Linked DNA regions of Oreochromis niloticus. The protein of the gene in region 3 interacts with the protein of the main gene of each other region in a pairwise test. Links are inferred from orthologs where the notes say so. Each region holds a gene or a part of one and is shown on either strand. Other genes may lie near its edges. The genes, in order: psmb8a, clic1 and lsm1.

The links.
Region 1: the proteins of lsm1 (region 3) and psmb8a interact in binary tests that used the Homo sapiens proteins (3 or more experiments, as listed by UniProt). The link is inferred for Oreochromis niloticus from reciprocal best matches to the Homo sapiens genes LSM1 and PSMB8.
Region 2: the proteins of lsm1 (region 3) and clic1 interact in binary tests that used the Homo sapiens proteins (3 or more experiments, as listed by UniProt). The link is inferred for Oreochromis niloticus from reciprocal best matches to the Homo sapiens genes LSM1 and CLIC1.

Annotation. Positions count from the first base shown.
Region 1 is NC_031985.2:8,393,893-8,401,782, reverse strand, and holds the start of psmb8a (proteasome subunit beta type-8), read right to left. Parts: upstream 3,069-7,890; 5' UTR 2,926-3,068; coding exon 2,776-2,925; intron 2,531-2,775; coding exon 2,389-2,530; intron 1,669-2,388; coding exon 1,557-1,668; intron 1-1,556. Other genes in the region: psmb13a (proteasome 20S subunit beta 13a), read right to left, coding at 4,947-5,058, 6,415-6,566, 6,833-6,891, 7,143-7,258, 7,353-7,493, 7,863-7,890. UniProt on the Homo sapiens protein: The proteasome is a multicatalytic proteinase complex which is characterized by its ability to cleave peptides with Arg, Phe, Tyr, Leu, and Glu adjacent to the leaving group at neutral or slightly basic pH.
Region 2 is NC_031985.2:15,826,620-15,833,591, reverse strand, and holds the start of clic1 (chloride intracellular channel protein 1), read right to left. Parts: upstream 3,071-6,972; 5' UTR 2,913-3,070; intron 2,660-2,912; 5' UTR 2,637-2,659; coding exon 2,595-2,636; intron 1,008-2,594; coding exon 898-1,007; intron 557-897; coding exon 431-556; intron 11-430; coding exon 1-10. UniProt on the Homo sapiens protein: In the soluble state, catalyzes glutaredoxin-like thiol disulfide exchange reactions with reduced glutathione as electron donor. Reduces selenite and dehydroascorbate and may act as an antioxidant during oxidative stress response.
Region 3 is NC_031977.2:12,015,436-12,022,558, forward strand, and holds lsm1 (U6 snRNA-associated Sm-like protein LSm1), read right to left. Parts: upstream 3,087-7,123; 5' UTR 2,940-3,086; coding exon 2,894-2,939; intron 2,744-2,893; coding exon 2,675-2,743; intron 2,519-2,674; coding exon 2,403-2,518; intron 1,023-2,402; coding exon 852-1,022; 3' UTR 108-851; downstream 1-107. Other genes in the region: bag4 (BAG family molecular chaperone regulator 4), read left to right, coding at 3,749-3,826, 4,350-4,469, 4,657-4,887, 5,071-5,337, 5,617-6,072. UniProt on the Homo sapiens protein: Plays a role in the degradation of histone mRNAs, the only eukaryotic mRNAs that are not polyadenylated. Probably also part of an LSm subunits-containing complex involved in the general process of mRNA degradation.

The DNA.
Region 1 (7,890 bases), on a different chromosome or scaffold from region 3:
GTAGAGGAAGAGGGTCCAGCCACTTCTCCAACAAACCTTTCCTCAGTAAGATGTTCAGCACTGATTTACAACCAACCTAAGTAGGCATGTACTATGAATGTCAATGCTATTTTCTGTGTTTCAATAGCTCCCTGTACAGCAGCTGTACAAGACCTGTTTGATCAAGAAAATAAAAAAATGCTTTTTGGAAATGGAACACTTCAAGCAGCAGAATGGAATGTGAGTGCCATCTATACAGCCAATCACGCCTGGGAACCCTGAAAATAAATGTAAAATCTAAGTAGTAGTTCAAGTATCACCACATCATGAATTAAGTTTTGTTCATCCTGATACCTGCAATTTTGTGGAATCCCTCTTTGATAAATCTTGTGGGTCTATGACCGGGGAACACCACAAACGAGTACAGGAGATGTTTCAGTGCAACTGTAACATTCCTGACTGCCCGACAGACGGTAGCCTTGGAAACGTGCTCAGCGTCACCAATATTATACAGAAAGCTCCCGTTTGCAAAAAAAACGAAGTGCAATACAAATAATATGTACAGAACTGAGAGAATGTCCGCGATGTGTCACATGAGCAATATAAGGCCTGAGGATGTTATTCAAATAAATTATCGATTGTGCTGAAAAACGGTAACGTTCACACAGAAAATCATCAGGAAATGATAAAATGTCCAAACGCGCTCTAATCACTCTCTCCCGGCGGAGAGCTCTGCGGAGAATTTGGGCTTCAACATCTACTGGCTCTTCAAGGAAGGGGCACGCCATGTCTGACACTTCCTACAGTCAGGATTCCGACAAAGAGGCGGAGAAGGTCAGGGTTAGTTGAAGTAAACCTGCTAGGGGGCAGGTTAGCTTCACGGAGTGTGTCGTCATAGTAACTCACTCAGAATTAATCTAAACTCGCTTTGTGAAACCGAAAACCCAGAGTTTTCGTTAACTCAGGGTATACTTACTCAGAGTTTGCACTAAACCGGCTTTCTGAAACAGGGCCCTGTAAACAAAACCCTGAACCAGAACCACAGTAATATAATCTATCGTAAATAATCAAAACACCAGAGAACCCCAAAACACTCCATAATGCAAAAATAAACCCAAAACATAACTTAAAATGCTGGGTCGAACCGACCCAGAACCATAACAGGTGTGGAGCATATATTTTGTTTGTTGTGGTCAGATGAAAATAGGAGAAAAAAAACTGTATGTTTTTAGTTAAAAAACAAGGTATGTGATGACCATGTCAGTTTATTAAATCTGTATTCATTGTGTTTCAGTAAGTTATTCTCAAAGTCTTTATGTGAAGAGCCACAGAAGAACCTCTTGTTGTGAAGTCTTAATTAAGCTCTTTGCTTCACTCAAACAAAATCAGTTTTCTTACTTTCATTTCACTTTCAAAGTTTCTTCTTTATTTGTACCAAGTCATAAAACATTCAAGGAGAAACTCGATAAAATACCTTAGTGTGTTTCGTAGCATGCGGTCAGGCTACAATACACCATCAAAGCTGAGAAAAATCATGAAATAATTGGAGGCTCTAAGAGATAATATGTAGGACAGACCTGCACTCTTTGGCTAGGAGTCTCTCCCAGTACTGACAGTCTGCAGCGCTGCCTGACATGGTGCCCAGCAGGTACGGGTTGATCTCTATCACCTTGTTCACATCGTTGGATGCTGCAAAGACATGAATAAAATATATTTTACAGTACTATTCCTAAAGTCTTGAGCCACCTTATTAATGATAGTGTGTGTTTTTCTATACAGGTATGCTTTTACTGCGTTGGCAGTGTGTTTGAGATCATTGTCATACTGAACAATTAAGACTTCAGGAAACAGCTGAGGTCCAAGCGTATCTCTGCACACCATACTGAGATATGCCAAGTTTTCAGCTAAGGGCTGTTTTGGGAATCATCTTGTTGGTATAATAATAATACTTTATGTCAAACTGTGTTATTTATGGCATTTTTCATAGATTCAGCTAAAGATATGCAAACAAATTGTGTTTTGGCTGCTAGTATCAAAGTAGCTAAAGATAAAATTTAAAATTAGCTCTTTTCTAAGTTGTCAGTTATGTGTGGACAGAACACTGGTTCACCCTTAAAAGCTTTTATATGCTTGAATGATTCATAAGTCAATGTTAAGTGGCTTAGCAAGAGATTAAAGGGGCGGCTCAAGTCTTGTTTTACAGTACTGTAGGAAATGTATAAAAATTAAGAGTAACCACCTGTAGAAGCAAATCTTTACCCTCCTTCACACCTGTTGTGTAATATTTGGACATTTTACTGGAAGCTGCACCATCTTCATTGTGGCTGGACAATAACTGATTGGGCCATTATTGCCTTCGCCAAATGTAAATGCATAATGTTTCTAAATCATTTTGTGTATTATGTTTACCCAAGTAACGCCCGGCTGAAGCTCTGGAGTCCACAGCCACGATGACTCCATGCCTGAACTTGAAGGCCAGAGTGGTGGTCCCGTGGTTCATTTCAATGCACACACCTCCATCACTGTTGCAGGATTTCAGAAACCCTGAAGGCTGAAATGAAACCCAAAATAAACAGAATGGGACGCGTGATCTGTGATAGCGCATGAAAAAATAAGTATAATGTTTCTGATATTCTTACAATCACGATTGTTTATATATACGATTCAACAGGAAGTAAAATCGCTCACTGAGCACAACAGACGCGTAAAATAACTTAGGCCAGGGCGCGTCTGACGCTTACGGCAGGTTTACTGTATTCACTTTGTTAATTTAATGCCAGATTTAAAGTCACTCACCTCTACACCAGGCGGAACCGCAAATTCTTGAGTTTTGCTCCCAAAATTGTAGTGGTTGGTTCGGTCGACGAGGTGCCTCTGTTTCACTGGAAGAATCTGTCCACGGACTTCAGAAAAAGACTGAAAGTCGCTCACTTGAAGAAGTGCCATTATCTACTGAAATAGATAAACTATATTTTAAATTTATATACGTTTATGCAGAGTAGGTGTCGAGTTTTCTAAAAATGACGAAGGCGATTGACGCCAAGGGTGATTTCCTTGTATGTGACAAAGAAATAGAAAGTGAAAGGGATTTTAATGGTTCGTTTAAAATATTAAATTTTCTTTTCTTTTAAAAAAGATACAAACATTGTAAACAAAATAATACCGAGATGCAACCATTTGCAAATATGTGCTCAATCGTAACGAATTTGTTTTAAACCAAAAACTTAGTTAATCAAAATAAACTCTGTGACTGCAGAAGGCTGAAAACCGAACAGACCAATAGAAAAACGTTATTTTGTCATCATCAGTCTCTAAGCGGAAATGCAGCCCTCAGGTTCTGTCACTAACGAGCTCATCAGTTATAAAAAATATAGCTATAATTTACTGCAGTTAGATTAAAATGCAACACAGTAACCTGCTTTGTAGTTGATCCTGTTTGGATATTAACATATTCAATATCGTTAGTTTTAATTATGTTTATTTTTATTTTATTTATTTTATTTCTTTATACCGATGTTCCAGTATTGACTTTTTTATTAATTTATACCTTTGCTTTCATTTTTTCCTGTTTATTCCCTACACTAAGGCGGTTATATCTTGGTAGTTTGTGTGTCTGCAGGTCATTTTGTGTGTAAAGGCAATAGCTCGAAAAGTTTTAAATTAAGGCTGATAAAATTTTGTAGGGGTGTAGAGTGGGGTCATGTTAATAATCCATTATAGCCCCTTAAGGTCAACTTAAAGATTTATTGGTCGGAAGTTCAGTCAGAAAGTATGACTTTTACGACGGTGGTGTTTATTGTCAACATATAGAAAACACTGTATAAAGATTTAAACTATCATGCCACATTTGACCTTTGACCTCAGTAGATTGACCTGAAGGTCAAAGTGATAATGATCCTATATAGACCTATTTAAAACTGTTTCTTACTGCCATTGTTTGTACAATCTGACAACATACAGACATATGGAGATTTTAAATGTCACATTATAGTTTGTATCCACATATGATGTCACATTTCGCCTCTGATCTCACTTTTATGTTTCACATCTGCCTTTCTTTCAAGTTGCCCCCAAAATGCGTTATATCTTTAAAGAAAGTATTGTCAATAAAAGAGGATACGCTGCCTGGTTAGTTAGAAATATAGTGTAGTATAATATCATTAAGCTCAAGTCCAGTTATTTAAAAATTAAAACACATTATCCATCACCCACTCCTATACAATGTTTGTACAAAGTAAACATCTGTTACTCTTATGCAATTTTTTACTGAACTACAAACATCTTAAAAGTAACTTCAAAAAAGTGCAAAGAAAAGAAATTGAATATATACAAAATATAATACTATTCCCTTAAAAGTAAATACCACCCAGAGAGTGAGATGTTTTGGCGGAGGTTTGCTTCTTGTTTACATGCATTTTGTAACCAAGTTTTGTGAAACTTGGAAAGTAAAAGAAACTGCTTTAATTCAGTTCCTGTTGTTTTAAATATGCAATCCTACTATAATCATCCTATCGTTTGTATGTATACATGTTCCCTATCTCCTCCTAGACAAGTGGACCAATCGTATCATGTTCTCTGTCTTCTGCACATTTGTTATTATAAATAAAATAAATAATAATAAAATAAATAAAAGTGTTTCAACTGACTTGACTAAAGAGGGTAAGTAAGTACAAAACCTGTAAAGAAAAAAGGCAACAAAGGTCATGTAAATCGGGTTTTATTCAGTGTTTCAAAGATTATTCAGTATTGTAAAAATATCTCCTCTCTATGGCCAGCAGCATCCTCTATGTTTATAAAACCCACAGTATTACAGCTTGTTTATTAGACCACATCATGCTGAAGCAGCAAAAATCATAATGAAAAAAAATTTTGGAGATCTTTTTCTATTTATTTATTTTAGAAACACGATTTGAACATGATTTACTGAAAACAAAGATGGTGTGTATGTGTTGGTTGTTTGTTGTAGCTCAGGCTGTCTCCATCTTCTGCACAGTCTCCTGCACAACTTCCAGCTTTAAAGGGACAACTTTCTCTGTCAGGACTGGAGTAGTGCCTGGACGATATTTATACTTCATTTTCCTGAAATAAAGGCACATAGATAAAACATTCAAATCTGAGGATTTATAATGTGCAGTCAAGGTAGATTTGAAGAGTTAGTGGATCTTAGTCCAAAATAGCATACAAAGTGTTTTACTAAGGTTAGATAAGAGTGAATGAGGACGAAACATGAGTGAAGAACTCAAAAGTTACATGTAAACATCCATCTTTAAAAACATTCCAGAAACGTGAGACAAAATAATGTTTCATTTTTTAAGTGGAAAGCTAAAAAATTGAAAAGCTTTCTTGTTTTTCACTTCTTTGATCTACTTTTGCTGTCCATTATTTCATTCTCAGTTTTGTTTGTGTTTTCTTAAGTGATTTGTAATTATAGTTATTGTTTTAAATTAATCTGATGAGTTTCAGTTTTCCTGCTCTCCTGTGGTCCCCATGTCTGTTTAGTCTTTTGATAGGTAGCAGGAAATTTTCTTCCATTACTCCTATTTTTGCTGGCTTGCACTGGCTGCCAGTTAAATACTGTATTCAATTTAAAATACTACTTTTCACATACAAAATTATCAATAATTTGGCACCGAGCTACCTCAGTGAGCTTCTTAGCTTACACACTCCTGTCAGAGCACTTAGATCTGCTGCCCAACTTCTTCTGGAGCAACCTCGTTCTCAGCTGAAGTCTCGCGGTGACCGCGCGTTTGCTGTAGCTGCCCCAGTCTTATGGAACAACCTTCCTGTTGCTATCCGGGCGTCTGACTCTATGCCATTGTTTAAATCACGGCTGAAGACTTATTTATTTAATCTTGCTTTTCCACCTAGTTAATATTTGGTGTGCGTTGATACATTTTTATCCGTTATGCTTTGTTAACTACTTTTATGTATTATGATTGTCAAGGTTTTATAATTGATACGTGCCAGGTCCTCTCTCTTTTCCCTCCCATCTCCTTTTTCCTATTTTACTTTTTGTCAAGCACCTTGGTATACCCTTGGTTTTTTTAGTGTGCTTTATAAATAAAGTTTATTATTATTTATTATTATTATTATTATAGTCTCCATTTTCGTGTTAAATATTCCCGTGCATAGTTACTTCCTGTTTTTGTTTGATAGTCTTTTGTTTCATGTGCATTGTATTTAGTTTTGCTTCCCTTGTCTTGTTATCCCTGATTAGTTTCAGCCATGCATGCTAGTGTTGCCTAATTACCTCCGTGATTATTTAAACCTTTAGTTTGCAATAGTTTTTGTTGTGTTGTGCTGTTTATCCACCATTGTCCCTATTTGGATTTTTAGAATTTGTTTTCTGCTTCACCAGAATAAAGGTTTATTTTCTGTTTATTAAATCCATCTTTGAGTCTGCATCCACACAAACTATGACTGGTACAGGTGTACCTGTTGTCTTTGTACTGGGACTCCTGGTAGGGTCTGATGTAGTCGACTCCTTGTTTGGTGATGACACAGATGTCGATGTTGTTGCCTGAGCCGAGGTCGTTCATGATGCCTGCTTGAATAGCAGCTCGCACAAGCTCCTTTGCTGGCTCCAGCTGAGAGCGGACAGAAAGCAGAATAAAAGAGGAGCAAAAAGAGATGACATGAAGCAGCAGAACACAGAAGCATTCATCTTATACACTCTTACCTGTTTGGTAACAGAAACAACCATTTTATCAGCTGTTTGTTTAATTTAGAGAAGGTTTAGTTCCAATAGTCCTGCCACCCTCAAATTATTCAATTAAAAATGAATACTATGTGAAATAAGTTTCTATAAAGGTTTAAATAACTAAATATCACTTTACTGCAGAAAAAACAGTACCTCTAAGTCAGGTTTGAATCCATCCTCTAAAATCCCAAGAGCAGCCAGATCACCAGATCCTGCATGAACACAATGTAAAGTCAGCTAAACACAGACTGTATGTAGTCTGTGATTGAATCAAATACAGACCTACAGCACATTAAAATGTCATTTATATTTGTTAACAGAGTCATTATCTCTGATATTTTCTTGTAAACAAAAAAATGTTCTGACAGCTGAACAGCCAGGGAAAAACCATCACAGAAACACCAACCAAGAATCCAATTAAAGATCATATGCTGTTGTTATTAAAAGCAGTTATATCACATACCCATTGAGAGGTAAGGCACCTTGTCTACATCCCCGTACGGCCCCACAGTGTACAGGTGGTTTCCAGTACAATCCACTCCCCCCAGAATAAGATTAGCACCTATTTGACCTCGATACCTGAGAGACAAAACATGTTTTACTAAGACCACAGACCACATCTAACGATCCAAACATCTCTGGATACATGTACCTGTTTCTGTGAATCACTCACCTGTAAAGCATGTCCTGCAGTATGTTGACGGCCATGACAACTCGAGGGTTCCTCCCACTGTTCAGGGAAAAGATGGTGAGGTTGGAGGACAGAAGGTCTGTGGTCTTTTCTGTATCTGCTGCCGTACCTGCTCCACAACAACTAAACACAAACAAAGAGAATGTAGAGATCATGAGAAACAAAAAAAAAAAAAGATTTGATAAGCCACAGAGGGAAAAGATAAAGGAAGAGGAAAAGAGGAAAAACCTGCTTTAAGAAACACAGAAAGCCATTATTATAAATATATATATAAAAAAAATACTGGTTGTTCACCCTCAGTGGTCTCAATATCCCATTACATCATGTCATTATGTGAACAGTTCTCAAGTATGTCATCTCTTAAGTTGAAGAAAAGGAGGCAATTAGCAATTAAATATGCTACAAAAATGAGAAAAAATGCAGAATTACAGTAAACAGTGCAGATTAAAAGTTGTGAGAGTATTGAAGTATTTCTCCTCTAACAACACTTACTATATATTTGGAGCGATGTAATGGATCT
Region 2 (6,972 bases), on a different chromosome or scaffold from region 3:
ACGAGGATACCTAGATGTCCAATCACATCAGATATAAATCTTCAAGCTATTCGTGTTGATGTGCAAGAAGTCAACAAATGCATTTGCAGCCAACTGTTTATTTTGTTATGATTAATCTATTCATCGCTGGGTCTACAACGGAAACACCTGCAAAAATGTAGAATTAGATAGTTTAATCTCACGAAGATTCAGATTTAAATCTTGTGTTTTGGAGTTGGCGTGCAGGGCCTACTTTTTTTGTCTTGTCTACAAAATGTTGCCTTATTCCTGCAAAATTCTAAACAATCTGTGCTCAAAGCCTCCAGAGACATCCTTTAAGTACTGTATCTCTTTGTGCCCAACAAAGTTGCGATATTCAGATCATTATCAGATCAAACAAGACAGTTTGTGTTATCTGTATCAGCACTTCAGAGATGAAGGAAAATATTACTTTGGAGGGCAGAGATGCTCTTCCAGGAACTCCTCAATCTTGTTGGTGTCGGTTTTCACCTCGCTGCCGTACAACAGGAAGGGAGGCTGAGCACCCGGTGCCAGGTCCTTCAAGATGTCTGGCTTCCTGAAAGCGGGACGGAAAAAGTCCAGAAGACAGATGGAGCGAGTCAGAAACAGAGAAAGAGAAAAAAAAAGGAAAACAGGAGTGGAAAGATTTCCAACCGCAGGAAATTACCCATGTGAGCAGCTACAATGTGTCCAACTTTCACCGAAAATCAAAGCGTGGGAGCTTTTTATCTTTTAATGAATGAATGCAATACCCCAGGCTTTTTCAGTGCCAGCTTCACTTGGGGGCATTAAAACATTAAAAGTGTAGGCGAATGTTCTCTTGTTGCGCCAGCATTAGTGAGAGAGACAGAACAAACAAAAGTGGCCATACAGAGCGTGAAGGACGAGTGCTTTCACCTCTTCATATCCACCGTGGTAACGTCAAAGGTGACTCCCTTCAGCCACAGCACCATGAAGAGACGCTGAGAGAAAGGACAGTTGCCGATGCTCTGACCATCGCTTCCTGCCTGGGAAACAAAAACACATAATAAAGCCGCCGGTTAATATTACAGTAATGTTTCCATCTATTTTTCTAAGACTTTCCTCCATAAAATACTGGAAAATCTGCCGTGTTTCTTCAGGTCAGCGATCCAAAAATGCAAAGAAAAGCCTTAAAATATTTGTTGCACATTTGGTTACAGTATGCATACTGCTGATGCAGAAACGTGCACCTTAGTTTTTCACCCTTAAACCAACCTGCAAAGTCAGCACGCAGGATGTCTGAGTCAAAACAAAGAGAAATATACATCACCACACATCACAAATCCTCGAAGAGCTCAAATCGACAACTGAAAGTGAAGACGTTTGAGCAGCATGGAATAGCTGCTGTTAAAAAAAAGAAGAAATTAGAGGTTTTTTTGGTATGATGGAAATAAAGTCCTAATTTGTGCCATTTAAATCGCAAATTTACACAGTTTATCTGCTTGTCTGATCTGTCTTTACAGCAGTAATTTTCCCACTATCAGATAAATTGGAATATAATTATTGCATGAATTAAATCAACTATGATTATTTAATCTGCACAAGGCTGTTTTAAACACTTTAACACAGTTTGCAGACCCGATCATGAATCAGCTCCAAAAACAATCCCCAAAATGAAACTACCTGAAGCCTGAGATGCAGCATATGTTACTTCTCTTACTTCAGAGCCATACAGCAAACTGTGGTATCGATACTTAAGTAAATATTGGGCAAATATTGCCAATACTAGTACTGATACTAGGGGAAAGCAAGGCATTCTGAACAAAATAAATTTTTTAGAGCAACAACACACACCTTTCGGTTTTCATGTATTTTGAAACTCTTTTTTTTGGGGGGGGGGGTGTCTGGAATGTAAACGTGGACTGACCCACCCACCCCTAACTTCTTTACTGCTGTAGGGCTTGCAGCACCCAGCCCTACACAGTGCCTTAGGGCATGCTAGTTTTGATCTTTAGGATCTGAAACGTGGCCTCATCAGGCAACCGCCTAGTGTTGTTAACCACAGCTCATGAGAAACTACATTTAAGAGGTCAATTTAGAGAAGTTACAACAGCATCTTTCACCCTGAAGAAGGTGGGGGTGGGAAGCACATGTTCACACAGAGAAATCTTTATGTGTGAAGTGAGCCACACTGGTTAGTATGTTACTGCCTGTTTTTGGCTCAAAGAAAATGGGATTAGCCTGCCTGGCCAACATACTAAATATAGATTAAAGTCGGCTGGCTGTTATCTTAATGTGCGTTTAATTAGATTAGCCTTACAGTAGTTTATAAGCCCGGTGAGTCAGCAGAGGGGGGTCTGATTGACGTCACTATTACAACAAATACTGCGTGAAAATAAAAGATAAAACAAAGGTGGCTTAAAGTCAGCTGTAAGGACCGTGCAGGTGTCAGAGACAGTTTATCAGCATGTAATAGAAAACACGCCGAGCGTGCTGATGAAACAATAAGATAAAAGAAGCCCGAGCAGACCGGCTCAGCCCGCTGAATAAACTCAGGGCACATAATGTCGCCCGTGTGCGCGTCACTCTTTGGGTGTGATGCTTTCCTTCTCTGCGCCCATTCACTCTCTTACCTTCACGAAAAGTTCAAGTTTGGGCTGACCGGCGTCGCTCATCTTCACCCGTAGCTGCACGAAACCTATAAAGAGAGAGAGACGGGCGTTAAAAAGTTTCTAACACGAAGCCCGATCGAGCGCAAAGTCGCCTTTTCTGAGCCAGAAACAACCGCAAACGCGGGGAGCCCAGCCCATCTTCCGCTACACAATACCGGTGACTAAAGTGACAAACGCGACAATGTAGCCGCTCCACGGGCGTCACAAAGCAAAGCCCTACATGTCGTGCACCCCTAAAGCTCAAAATTCACATAATTTAGAGTCAGTAGAGCTTCTAACCTCACAGTGCTCGAAGTTCTCGTTGCCTGTTGCTGGTTTCTCCTCCCAGTTCTGCTGCTGAATGCGTGTGTGTGCCCGCGTCTGCTGGCTGCAGCGACACAATCATCATCATCATCATCCTCCTCCATTTCCTGGTGGTGCATGACGGGCTGAGCTCTCAGCGAATAAAAGCGGCCGCAGTATGAAGGAGCGGTCTGTTTACTCACGTTAAAGATCGTTTATTTCAAAGCAGCAAATAAAAACACAGAAAAGTCACCGCGGAGAGGAGAGCTGGGAGCAGGCGGGATGTTACGTAACAGCCACCATGAGAAGAGCACTTGGCAGCTTTGGGGAGACGCGTTAAAGGCACTTATTCACTGGTTATGGGGCGGTGGCTGATGTGTCTGACTGTCCCATATACAGTTAGGGTTGTAGTTTTTGTAGTTTTGCCTCTGTGCACAACCACAGTGGATTTTTACATCAAACATTAAACATCTGATTAAAATGCAGACTTTATCATTAAGAAAAGCTGTTAAACTTACGAAAATACAGTTAAAAGTCCAAAAGTTTATCCCCTCTTTCACATTTTCCAGCCTTCCTCGCGATCACCTGCCAAAAACGGATTTCCAATGTTTGCGTGTGTTTTTATGTGTAACATCTTTATGTATGTTGGTAAATAGACTTCGGTGAAAAGGGTTTACAAGGGGGTTATACGTCAAATTTAAAAATGGCCTGTTTTCAAGTATCTTTATAACTCTGTGTTATTGTACTTACATTATAACCAATCCGGTCAACATTTGTTGCAATTTCTGCTGTCCTCTCGGCCAGATTACACTTTAAATAAAGGATATATAAGGGTCCCTGCCAAAAACTGATTGCGGCTTCTACTTTGTTACAGGAATGTTGTTTGTGGTTCAAGATGACTTGATATCATTCACGAAGGATACATTTGACAAATGTTTGACATAGACCCGCGGCCTTATGTTTCGACACCCCTGGTGTAAACAAAAGTGGTTAGTTGATGCTCAGTCCCTGATTTTAAGAGGCTCATACATTATTGAACGATCTAATATGAACTGTTTGTAAAATGTGAATGAAAACCCTTTACAGTTAGTGACGCCTGTTTCTTCAGGCCTTTACTGCACCCACCTCCAGTTGCTGCATGTTGTTTCTGTCTTCAAAAACTGGAAAGCATGCTTCGTGTAGCTGATATCACGTGACTGAGTTGGCCATTGCAAAAATATCCCAGTTCTCTGCCTTGAAAATGTCCTTGGTTTCTTTAGTAGTTTGCTTTGGCTCATCAACAATTTTCACTGTGAAGCGCTGTCTGACCTGTTTTTCAGCACTTGGCTCAATCTGAGCAGAGAATATAGCCCATCCCGTTCCTTCTATCAGTAGTCACATCACCAATAAACGCGAGTGATCCGGTTCTACTGGCAGCCATGCGTGCCCATGACCAATGTTCCCTCTAAACTGCGCACGTGCGCAGTTGCGCACTGCTGGCACGGTCTCTGCACACAGAAAATCTGCGTTGCGCACAAAAAAAATCTAACCTGAATTGAAATTAAAATTAAAACTTTAACAATTCTGTTTTGCAGTGTTAGTCAGTAAGTGACTGGCTGCTCCTGTATGGGATTAGAACGATGCCACCTTATCCTATAGTCCAGCCAATAATGCGATTCACATTCGTATATACGCAGCCAATCAACGTTGTTGACAGGCTATGACAGCGTCCTTATGTGCCGACACCGGTGTTTTAGCTGGCAAAGCGGCGTGGCTGATGTGGAGTGAAGCCACATTAATGACAACGTGTACAACCATTGGAGATGTGAGCAGGACAGACGGAACAATTGACGGGAAAAGTGTGGACTTTATACCAGTTTTTAAATTGTGTTGATAGGCCACGTAAAACCAGAGTTATGATAAAAATATCTGCAATGTTTGGTTTTCTTCCTGAATACTATCGTTGTTTATATTTACTGCGGGAAGAAACGGTAAAAACGGCGTGTTATAAGGAAAACGCTCGAAAGCACTCTCCGCCTGTGAGCAAAGACAAAACCAAAAAAACCCACCCTTTCCTATTGGTCGAAAAAAGTACCGTGTCGACCAATCAAAAAATGATATGGCAACGTGGCATCTAGTTGTTAAGAAACGGGGGGAAGTTTTAGGAGTGACGGCGGTGTTCTGAGATGTGAGAGATTTGAGACATTTAGCGCAAATCTTGTGTAGTTAGTGTGTAGTCAGTAGTTTTGTTGTGTGTGTCAGAACAATGAGGCGGCTGCTGAATGTTACAGGTGTTACAGGAGTGATACATCTCCTGCTGTCAGGCCTGCAGGTATCAGGCTGTTGTTCTCCTTTATCTCATAGTGGACAGAAATTATTTTTGGAGTGGCACAAATAATTTGTGTGGCATCAGATTTGATGCAGAACAGCTGATTGTTCTGTAAATAGTTTGAAATGTTTATTTAAAAACGCCTTGGCTGCATTAAAAAAAAAAAATAGCTGCAAAAAACTTTGTTGTTTGCCAAACTGAGTTACTTTTTTGAAGTAGTAACTATATAATTAATTGCCCAACATTGGTCATTATATACTGTATTTGGCAGACAGAGAGTTATAGGACTCTCTCCCAGACCACAGACTCATAATACAAGTCAGAGCTTTATGAAAAAAAAAGAAAAAAAGAAAGAAAGTTGTGTTTTCGAAATTGGAGTTCAAGTTATTTTTACTTCCAATAGTGTTAACATACTACACAGGTCATGAACAGGATTTTTTAAATTTTCATTGTAAGTGGGCTAAAGCAGTTAATTAAAAGTAGTCTAACAGAAATGTAAATGCTGTAATTTGATTATTTTAATAAACCATGTAACTTGGATGGATTAGATGCTGGCATGACCACAGTGCTCACGTCTGATGTCGCTCACAGTGGTCCAAGGGACCGCTCAGGGAGTTTGTGTGTTCGCTCAGACACATGAAATATTTGAGGGAACATTGCCCATGACATAATAATACCTCCACCACGTTTGACAGATTACCCGATATGCTTCAGATCATGAGCCGTTTCTCTCCGTCTCCATGCTTTTCTCTTCCCATCGTACACTTCGTTTTGGTTTCATCTGTCTCAAAAATTATTTTTTCAGAACCTTGCAGGCTCTTTTGGGTGTTTTCTGGAAAAAACGTGAGCTTCTTTCTAACATTAAACACAAAAGGCATTAGTAAGGTCTACAAACCTATTAGTTTTGGAGATCTGGTCATCCTGTTTGTTTTATCTTAGTTTACAGAAGTTTTTGGATTTTCCTGCTATTTCTGAAAACAACAATAACATGTAAATATGTATGTAAAATTAGGACCTTGGGGGCCAAACTGAAAAGATAACTTACAGAAAACACTCGATTTGCTGTAAATATTAAATCTCCTTTCAAATTAACACATTCAGGATCACAGTCCAAACATTTCACATTTCACAGATTTTTGTTGTCTTGGTTTTTAAAAAAGGTTTCTTGTCACAATTAAAAAAAAATTATTTGCTTCATTTAGTTCTGACAAGTTTTACCAGCCATTGGTAAAATGCTGCCCCCTGCAGGTTAAAGTGTTTACTCACAATCCGCCGAAAATCTGGAGGTCCTGTCTCCTGAAATTTTGAGTATAAGATGTTACATTTCCTGCATTCTGATGATTTTTGTTTTTGGACTGATTTGTAAGTTTTCTAAAGGATAAATGTCCCACAGAGAGCCGATGCAGGCATGGAGACAACATCCCTTTTACTGCGATGTAACTGACCACTGCAGCACCGTGCTGCCTCAAAGTCTTTGTGTTGCTTAAAAGCAACTATTCTCAACTTTAATCCTTTAAATTTTTCGATGTGCACATGCTGACATAATTTACTATTTCTTCTTTTATTTGGTCTTTACTTCTTTTATGCACTAATTTTAATTGATTTCTATCCATATTCAAAGCTTATTGCATATTCAAAACATGCCACATGGACGCCATCTGTGATGGTTTTAACGTGTTTTCAGCTTCGTCTCTGCTATGTTACTGAGGCTGGCTGAAACCAAGTATCACAGGCTGGCTGTGTGGGAGC
Region 3 (7,123 bases):
TAGTATAAAATAAAACGAAAGGGAGAAAAATACATTAAACTGCCACCGGAAGTGCTTAATCATGTGGCACGAAGATAACTCATTTAGGAGCGAGTACAATCTCGCGGCTGCCCCGTTTCACAGAAGCCACGATGGATCTGTCAAAACGATTAACAAGCTTATTATTGACCGCTGAAGGCAGATAGGATCGATTTCTCAGAGTGCGGACGGGCTCTCATTTATATAAACAGGACGTGGGGCAGCCTGATGCACCGATATGCCGCCTGCTTAAGTGCAATTACCACAATGAATTATGGCATTTCCTCACATAACAAATGCACAAGTGTCCGGTTTGATGTCACATTACAGCGGCTAACGTGATCTGCATGGTGGTGTCTGTGGCGCCATCCTAAAAGAGGGCACTGGGCCCTGATTGACCTAAAGTGACGAGCTTCACATCCCTTTAAGGCATGACACCCCTCCCACCCCACCCAAGTAGACCTTCCATGATGAAAAATTAAACTCTTTAATGGGCCAAAGCATGTAGTCTCCCCGCCCCCCTCAATAGCAGTTCCACATTATTTAAACATTCACCACATGATGAAAGAATACAAAGTGCTATTGATTCTTAATTGTCAACATAGTGATTTCAGAAAAAAAAAATATTTTTTTAAACTTTCTTGACATGACACCCCCCCCTTACAAAACTCAAATTAAATCGATACAGTACATCACAGTAGATTGACTCAGGATAATGGTGTGTTCTGCTCACTTAAAAACAAAAAGTCAGGCTGCCATGCACTCTCAGGTTCAACTTAAAACTCGTCAGTCCAATGCCAACTGAGAAAGAGGCCCACGGCAACTAGGTTGCGTTAGTATTCGTCTAGGTTGTCAGCTTTGGGTATGGACAGGCCTCGGTCCTTCAGGACCTGCATTTTGACTTTCTCGGTCTCCTGTTTGGCTTGCTGCTGCAGCCGCTGCTCCTCTAAGATCTCTTCAATGGAGACTTGCTGCAGCACCGTGTCACAGGGCTTATCCATGTCCTGCAAAGACAAGAGACCGTATCACATCTTGCACAGGCCTGAAACACTCAGATAATACTACTGAACACATTTTAATTGGAATTACTGGGCGTTCTGTAACTTTGAATTATTACTAATAAAATACCTGATCAAAATTTTGATTATAGGCAAACAATCTGATTACACTAATGAAGCAAACAAGTGTGTCTTTATCAAACAAATAATGCGGAAGAATAAAGTGAACCTCTGTGCTAATGATTTCTCCAAAAGCTACTTCCTTTTTCCAGTTGAGGACAGGCTGCACACCTGCCACTTCCTAGAACTAAAGGCATGAAACATCTGCAAATCTTCAAGAAGACTGCATGGTTCATGCCAACCATCAATCACAAACTGCTTTCTCATTATAAGCAGAATTACAAAATGCTGTTCATTCATGCTTGACAAACATTTTCTCAAAACTATACATAAATGAATGTGTGCAGAAGATGTTGTATGCTGAGACTATGTGCCTTTTTGTGCTTCATTATCATTTCTGATATGACACAGGATTTGATGTCAGCTTACTCTCATCGTTTGCCAGATGCAAGCTCACCAAAAGACACCAAGAAGTTAATCACTGCCGTTCCATTTCCATCAGCATTTCAGAACAGAAATAAATTAACAATCAACTGAACCTAATCATCAGGCAAATGTCACAAAAGGCAGCAACATCTTCTAAAGCGCTGAGAAGCAGATCAGAGCACAGGTACTGTCAAGCCTCTGCTATGACTGAAGCAGTTTTACATCATGACATGTTGTACTGTTACAGCATCATGTGGATCCCTTTAACAGCAGAGTACTGCTGTCAAGCATTAGGTAGGAATAACAGAGTAAGACGAGTTCATGAGTCACTTTTGCTCAGTGTGCTGGCCTTGAAGGTCTTGTGTCACGGCGGTGTCCCTGTAACGCGTCACCTTGGCTGTTGACGTACATCGGACAAGCATGATTAAGGAGAGTCAGATTTTAAGGATGCGTCAGCAGCTTCCACTGTTGCCTCTTAGCAAGTAGTTCCTGAGCCTGCCAGTCTTTCTGGCATCTGTTTGCACCAGAAAGACTGGTGAGGGTTCTCACCAGGTACTCCGGCTTCCTCCCACAGTCCAAAGATAAGCATGTTAGGTTAATCGGTGATTCTAAATTGGCCCACGAATGGCTGTGCGTCTCTCTGTGAGAAAGGCCAGATCTCACTCTGTGTCAACTGGGATAGGCTCCAGCCCGAGGACCCTTAGCCACCATTTAAGTGAACCCCTACTCTCACAACTGTATCAATGCAGTGTGTGAAGGACATAAGGAAATTTAACCATGTCTACTGATCCTTCTGACCATTTCAAAAACCAAAGTGAAAACGAGATTATGTCTACTTACTATCTCTCCAAGCAGCACCACATTTTCTCCTCTCACGATGAATATTCCTCTGGGGATGTCACCAAACTTTTTTCCCACGTGGATGCGCTCAACTGTCTGGTGAAAAACTAAATTGGCTGGAGGACAAAAGAACCGGTGTAAATAGAGAGCTGAAAACAAGAGACACGATCATGGGAATCATAATGACAGATAAACTGAGCCTGCTGTAACCAGTGCAGTGACCCGACTCAGAAAAACAATACTAAAGGTGGATATAATTAAAAGAGTTATACCAAACTGATCAATGCTTCTCAGGTAACCAATCAATGTTCTTCCATCTCGGAGCAGCACCAGGTGCTTCTCTGCGGGATACAAACAAGAGGAGCAAGTTATATGACAATTTAAACCCGCTGCAGATGATCCAGATTGCGTCGGACACGATGCTGCACATCTTGAAACGATTATTTCTTTTTAAACCAAATCAGCTCCATCAAATCACTCCTCCAACTTACTATCGATGTCGTCAATGAGGCTTGCCGTCCCTGGTACGTAGTTCATCTTGTGCTGCTGCTTATTTGAGTCTTGTATCTGTATATACCGTCAAGCCATTAATGTTTCAATACATGTTTCTCACAAAATTAGCACAGGAAGCGTCTTTATACACGCCAGGGATGAACTTCCTGTAAGCATTTAACCCTTTGTGCGCTGTCGATTCACTACATTTCTAACACGCAGGGCCGGCCCTTTAAAAAATACATCTTTAAATAAATAGAACTTCAGGCATCGGTGGGTTTTGAAGATTAAAATAGCAGTTAATGTTTTTAAAATGTTATTTTTATGACCTTTTCCCCCATTGGCTAATAACGTCTACTGGCGCGCATGCGTCGGCAAAGATCGTATATACACAACAATGGTCACCGAGCCTGAACAATTCAAAACGCCCTACATTATGTAAATAAATGTATAATTTTGTTGAAATACACCCAGAAAATAGACGTTTAACGTCTTAAAATCATATCATAAATTTATAGCTAGTGAAATGAGGGTAGACCATGGCGTTACTTTCTCCGTCCAAACGTTGGTTGTGCCAGAAAAAATCTGGCGGAGTGAGACCTCTGTAGGTTTAGCAGCGCTCGCTATTAAAGGCGCAGCACGGGGGCGCTCACGTCATTCAGTCGTTTCCCGACTTAACCAAAGGGTCCGCACTTGTATAGGAAAACGACAACATTGCTGCTGGCGTTTCAGACGACCTGACACATCCGATAAGTAACGCGAGGCTCGCTGCAGATTTGTTTTTCCCCCCCACAATGACAGATGACAGGGCGGCTGCCGGTAAGAGCGCTTAGTCCAAGCATCATCATTATCAAATGCAGTCCAATCTGAAACCCGGCTGGCCCTCGACTTGCAACTCGGGAAATAATCACGGGAACTGGAATAACAGTATGGTAAGTAAGTGGACACAGCTCAGACATATTCTCGTGGTATTCACACTCTCTTTTAGTGTCTTTAAACCTTAAAGAATAGCGTGAATTTGTGGTGGAGATCATTTTCAGCCAGCTCGCACAAAGCTCTGCCTATGCTAGCTGCGCGGCTAACTGAGCTAACTAGCATTATGTAATAGTAACGGCTAAGGACAGAGTTCAGCTGTTTTCCGGGACTTTTACGTTCATCTTGACGCGACTCCACTGTTAATAAGACTCCACGTGTTTGAAAGAATGAGTGAGTATTTCGTGTCTTTCTTGTGACATGTTGGGCCCTTTTTTTTTTCTCCGGTCAGTTTTACTCTACTTAAGGATTTTGCATAACTGGTTCCGCAGGCAGATGAATCAATGTCCCTGTTTGCACAGTTATTGTTTGTTCTGGGATGGGTAGTGACGTTGAAGGCGTAGTTTCAAAGTTTAATGTGTCATACCAATGTCTACTTGTTAGTACTCTGGTGCCAACCATGCTTTGTAACTGTATTTGCAGGATGCTCCTCAGTATCCAGGCTATCCTCCACAATACTGGTATCCCCAGTCTCATTCCACAGGGCACTATGCAAATACCTATCCCTCCGGATCAGATGTTCAGCCACAGTACAATCCACAGGTATAGATATACAGATGCAGCATAACCAGTCCCTCTGACTCTAAGGTTGGGTTAGTGGATTTATGCTTAAATGTCTTTAATTTACATTTTCATATTAACATCTATCATGTCAAAGTTGTTGTATCTCTGATGGATTTATACTTGTTATTTTAAATAACTAGGTCCCCTTCTTGTGTCTTTCACATAGGTAATGCCTGCTGGTTATCCAAACGGCCATGGAGTCTACAGTCCAGCACAGAGTCAGTATTCAACAAGTGGTTTCCACCCATCCAACCCTTTCTACTGTGCTGACCCTCAAAGACCGGCTCCGGGTTCTTATCCTAACCAAGGCTGCCACGCAGAGCAAAGCAGTGGGTCTTCTGGACAACCTCACTCTCAACACCAACATCATCACTATGCTGGGCCACACTGCCAAGGGGTTGGTGCATTTAAGCGCACACAGTTTTCAAATATAACAGTAGTTTAAATAAAGTCTTACAAATGAGGTATATTATACAGTGTAATTTTATTATTATTTTTTTTATCTAAAAATAGATGTCATTTTCAAACGCAAAAGAAACTTTTTCTGAATGTGAGACATTTGTCTTATTTCTGCTCTCAGGGTCCTGGATATCCTGGATCGTACCCTCACTACAGCGAGAGTGGCCATGCATTGCCTCCAAATCCCCCATACCCAACTGGCCAGTCACTTCATCCCAGCCAGCAGCCTGACGCATGGGCACATTCTGGTCCATATGTACCCTCACAGCAGCCATGGCCGCCGGGACAACAGCCTCCACAAAACCATTATGGGAATCCAGTCCGTCCACCACATCCTCCAGCGTGGCCAGGAACTGGAACAGGTGCTCCTCCACCTTACCAGCCCAAGGTAAGAATCTTAAGAGATTTTTTTTATTTTATTTTTGTGAAACACAGATGTGCACACAATGTATTACAACTGTCATGATGAACTGCCTTTACACTTTGTTCTCTGTAATCACACATCTGTTCTGGGTGGATAGCATCTGTTTTTGGAGGGATTAGATTTTCTAAAAAATAAATACCAAATTTTGCTAAGGTATATTTATTTGAGTCAGTTTACAGCCTCTATCCTTATATTATCAAACATTTTAAACGCAGTCTTTTTCAAACTCTTGTGTTAATGTAGGACCAACAGCACCAACGTGCCCCACCGGTGGGACCTAAACCGAAGCCAGCACCATCCCCGAATCCCCCCAGTGGTAATCCTACTGAAATAAGTTCTCCTCCACAAATGTATAAAACTGGGAGAGGTGATCCTAATGCTTCGCAAGCTGAGGCCCCGCCTTCGGTTCCAGCATCAACTCCAAATCAGGCTGGACCTCCGCAACTGAGCGATAACCCCAGTCTGGCTAAGGTCCAGCAGGTCATGTCCAGAGTACTGCTGCTTCAGGAAGACGTTGATGAGTTTGTTGGCAAAAAAACAGACAAGAGTTATCGTTGTCTGGAGGAACTGCTTACCAAAGAGCTGCTGGTGCTAGACTCTGTGGAGACTCAGGGACAGGAGAATGTCCGGCAAGCCCGAAAGGAGGCTGTACAGAGAATCCAGGCCATTCTGGACCAGCTGGAAAAGAAAGCTTTCTGAGCTGGACTTGTTTTGCTTGTGGGTCACTTTGATTTCATCTTCCTGATCTTCCATGGACATGTTCAGGTTCTTGTCTTCTTTTGCTGACCAGTGTTGTAGGGATTTTTTTTTAATTTTTTTTTTTCCCTCCACCACCATGTTACTATAAAATACCTGGAAAAGGTGGCATGGACCAAAGAAAAAGACACAGCAGTTACTGGCACGTGGAATCCAACTTTGAAGCTTAATAATGCTGGTATAAAAGGTATGGTGGTATTAGACGTGAAAGCTCATGGTTGCTGGCGTCAGCCTCAGTGAGTGACTCTATCAGCTGCAAAAGCAGGAGCGAGTCACCGGAAGATGAACTTGTGTAGTGTCACATTGCAGCTCTCTGTTGTCTCTGACTCATGACGCAGATTATCATCACACTGTCCCTCAGGAATGTGGGTCAGTTTCAGTCTGATCCAACGTGTATCAGCTCTTGCACTTCTTTAGCTGTCTGTCGTTTCATCTCAGAGTCCCTTTGCATGATCAGGAAATTGTGCTTTCACCTAATAGAGTAAATGCATTCAGTTGTCCATAGCCACTTGCCTCTCCATGCCTCCGCCTCTGTAGGTGCAGTGATTTCTTTTTTTCTTCTTTTTTTTTTTTCTCACTCAGTTTAAGCCCTGCATGCACTGTAATGTCAGATAGGCACTTGATACAGTCATGATATCTCAGAGCTCAGAACTGGGCCTCGAGTGTAGCAGATTAGTGAAAATCCCCCAGAAGATTGCTGTTCCCAATTATTTCATCTTTTTTGATGAAGACCTAGAATCAGACCTACATATGAATGCCATGTGTTTCACTTCACTCACTGATAAAGACTTGATTAAGTATGACTGGACAAGCTGTTCTTTTTCTCCATCTTTGAACATTCAAATATATATAAAACTGAAATCTCTACTTGAACATTTTCAGTCATGTTTTACGCTGAAGGACAAGGTTGGATTAAATGTTTTTCTTTCTGTCCTTTTGATATTGAGGACAAAAATCTATGTTTATATCAAACAGATTTTTGTGTGTGCATCAC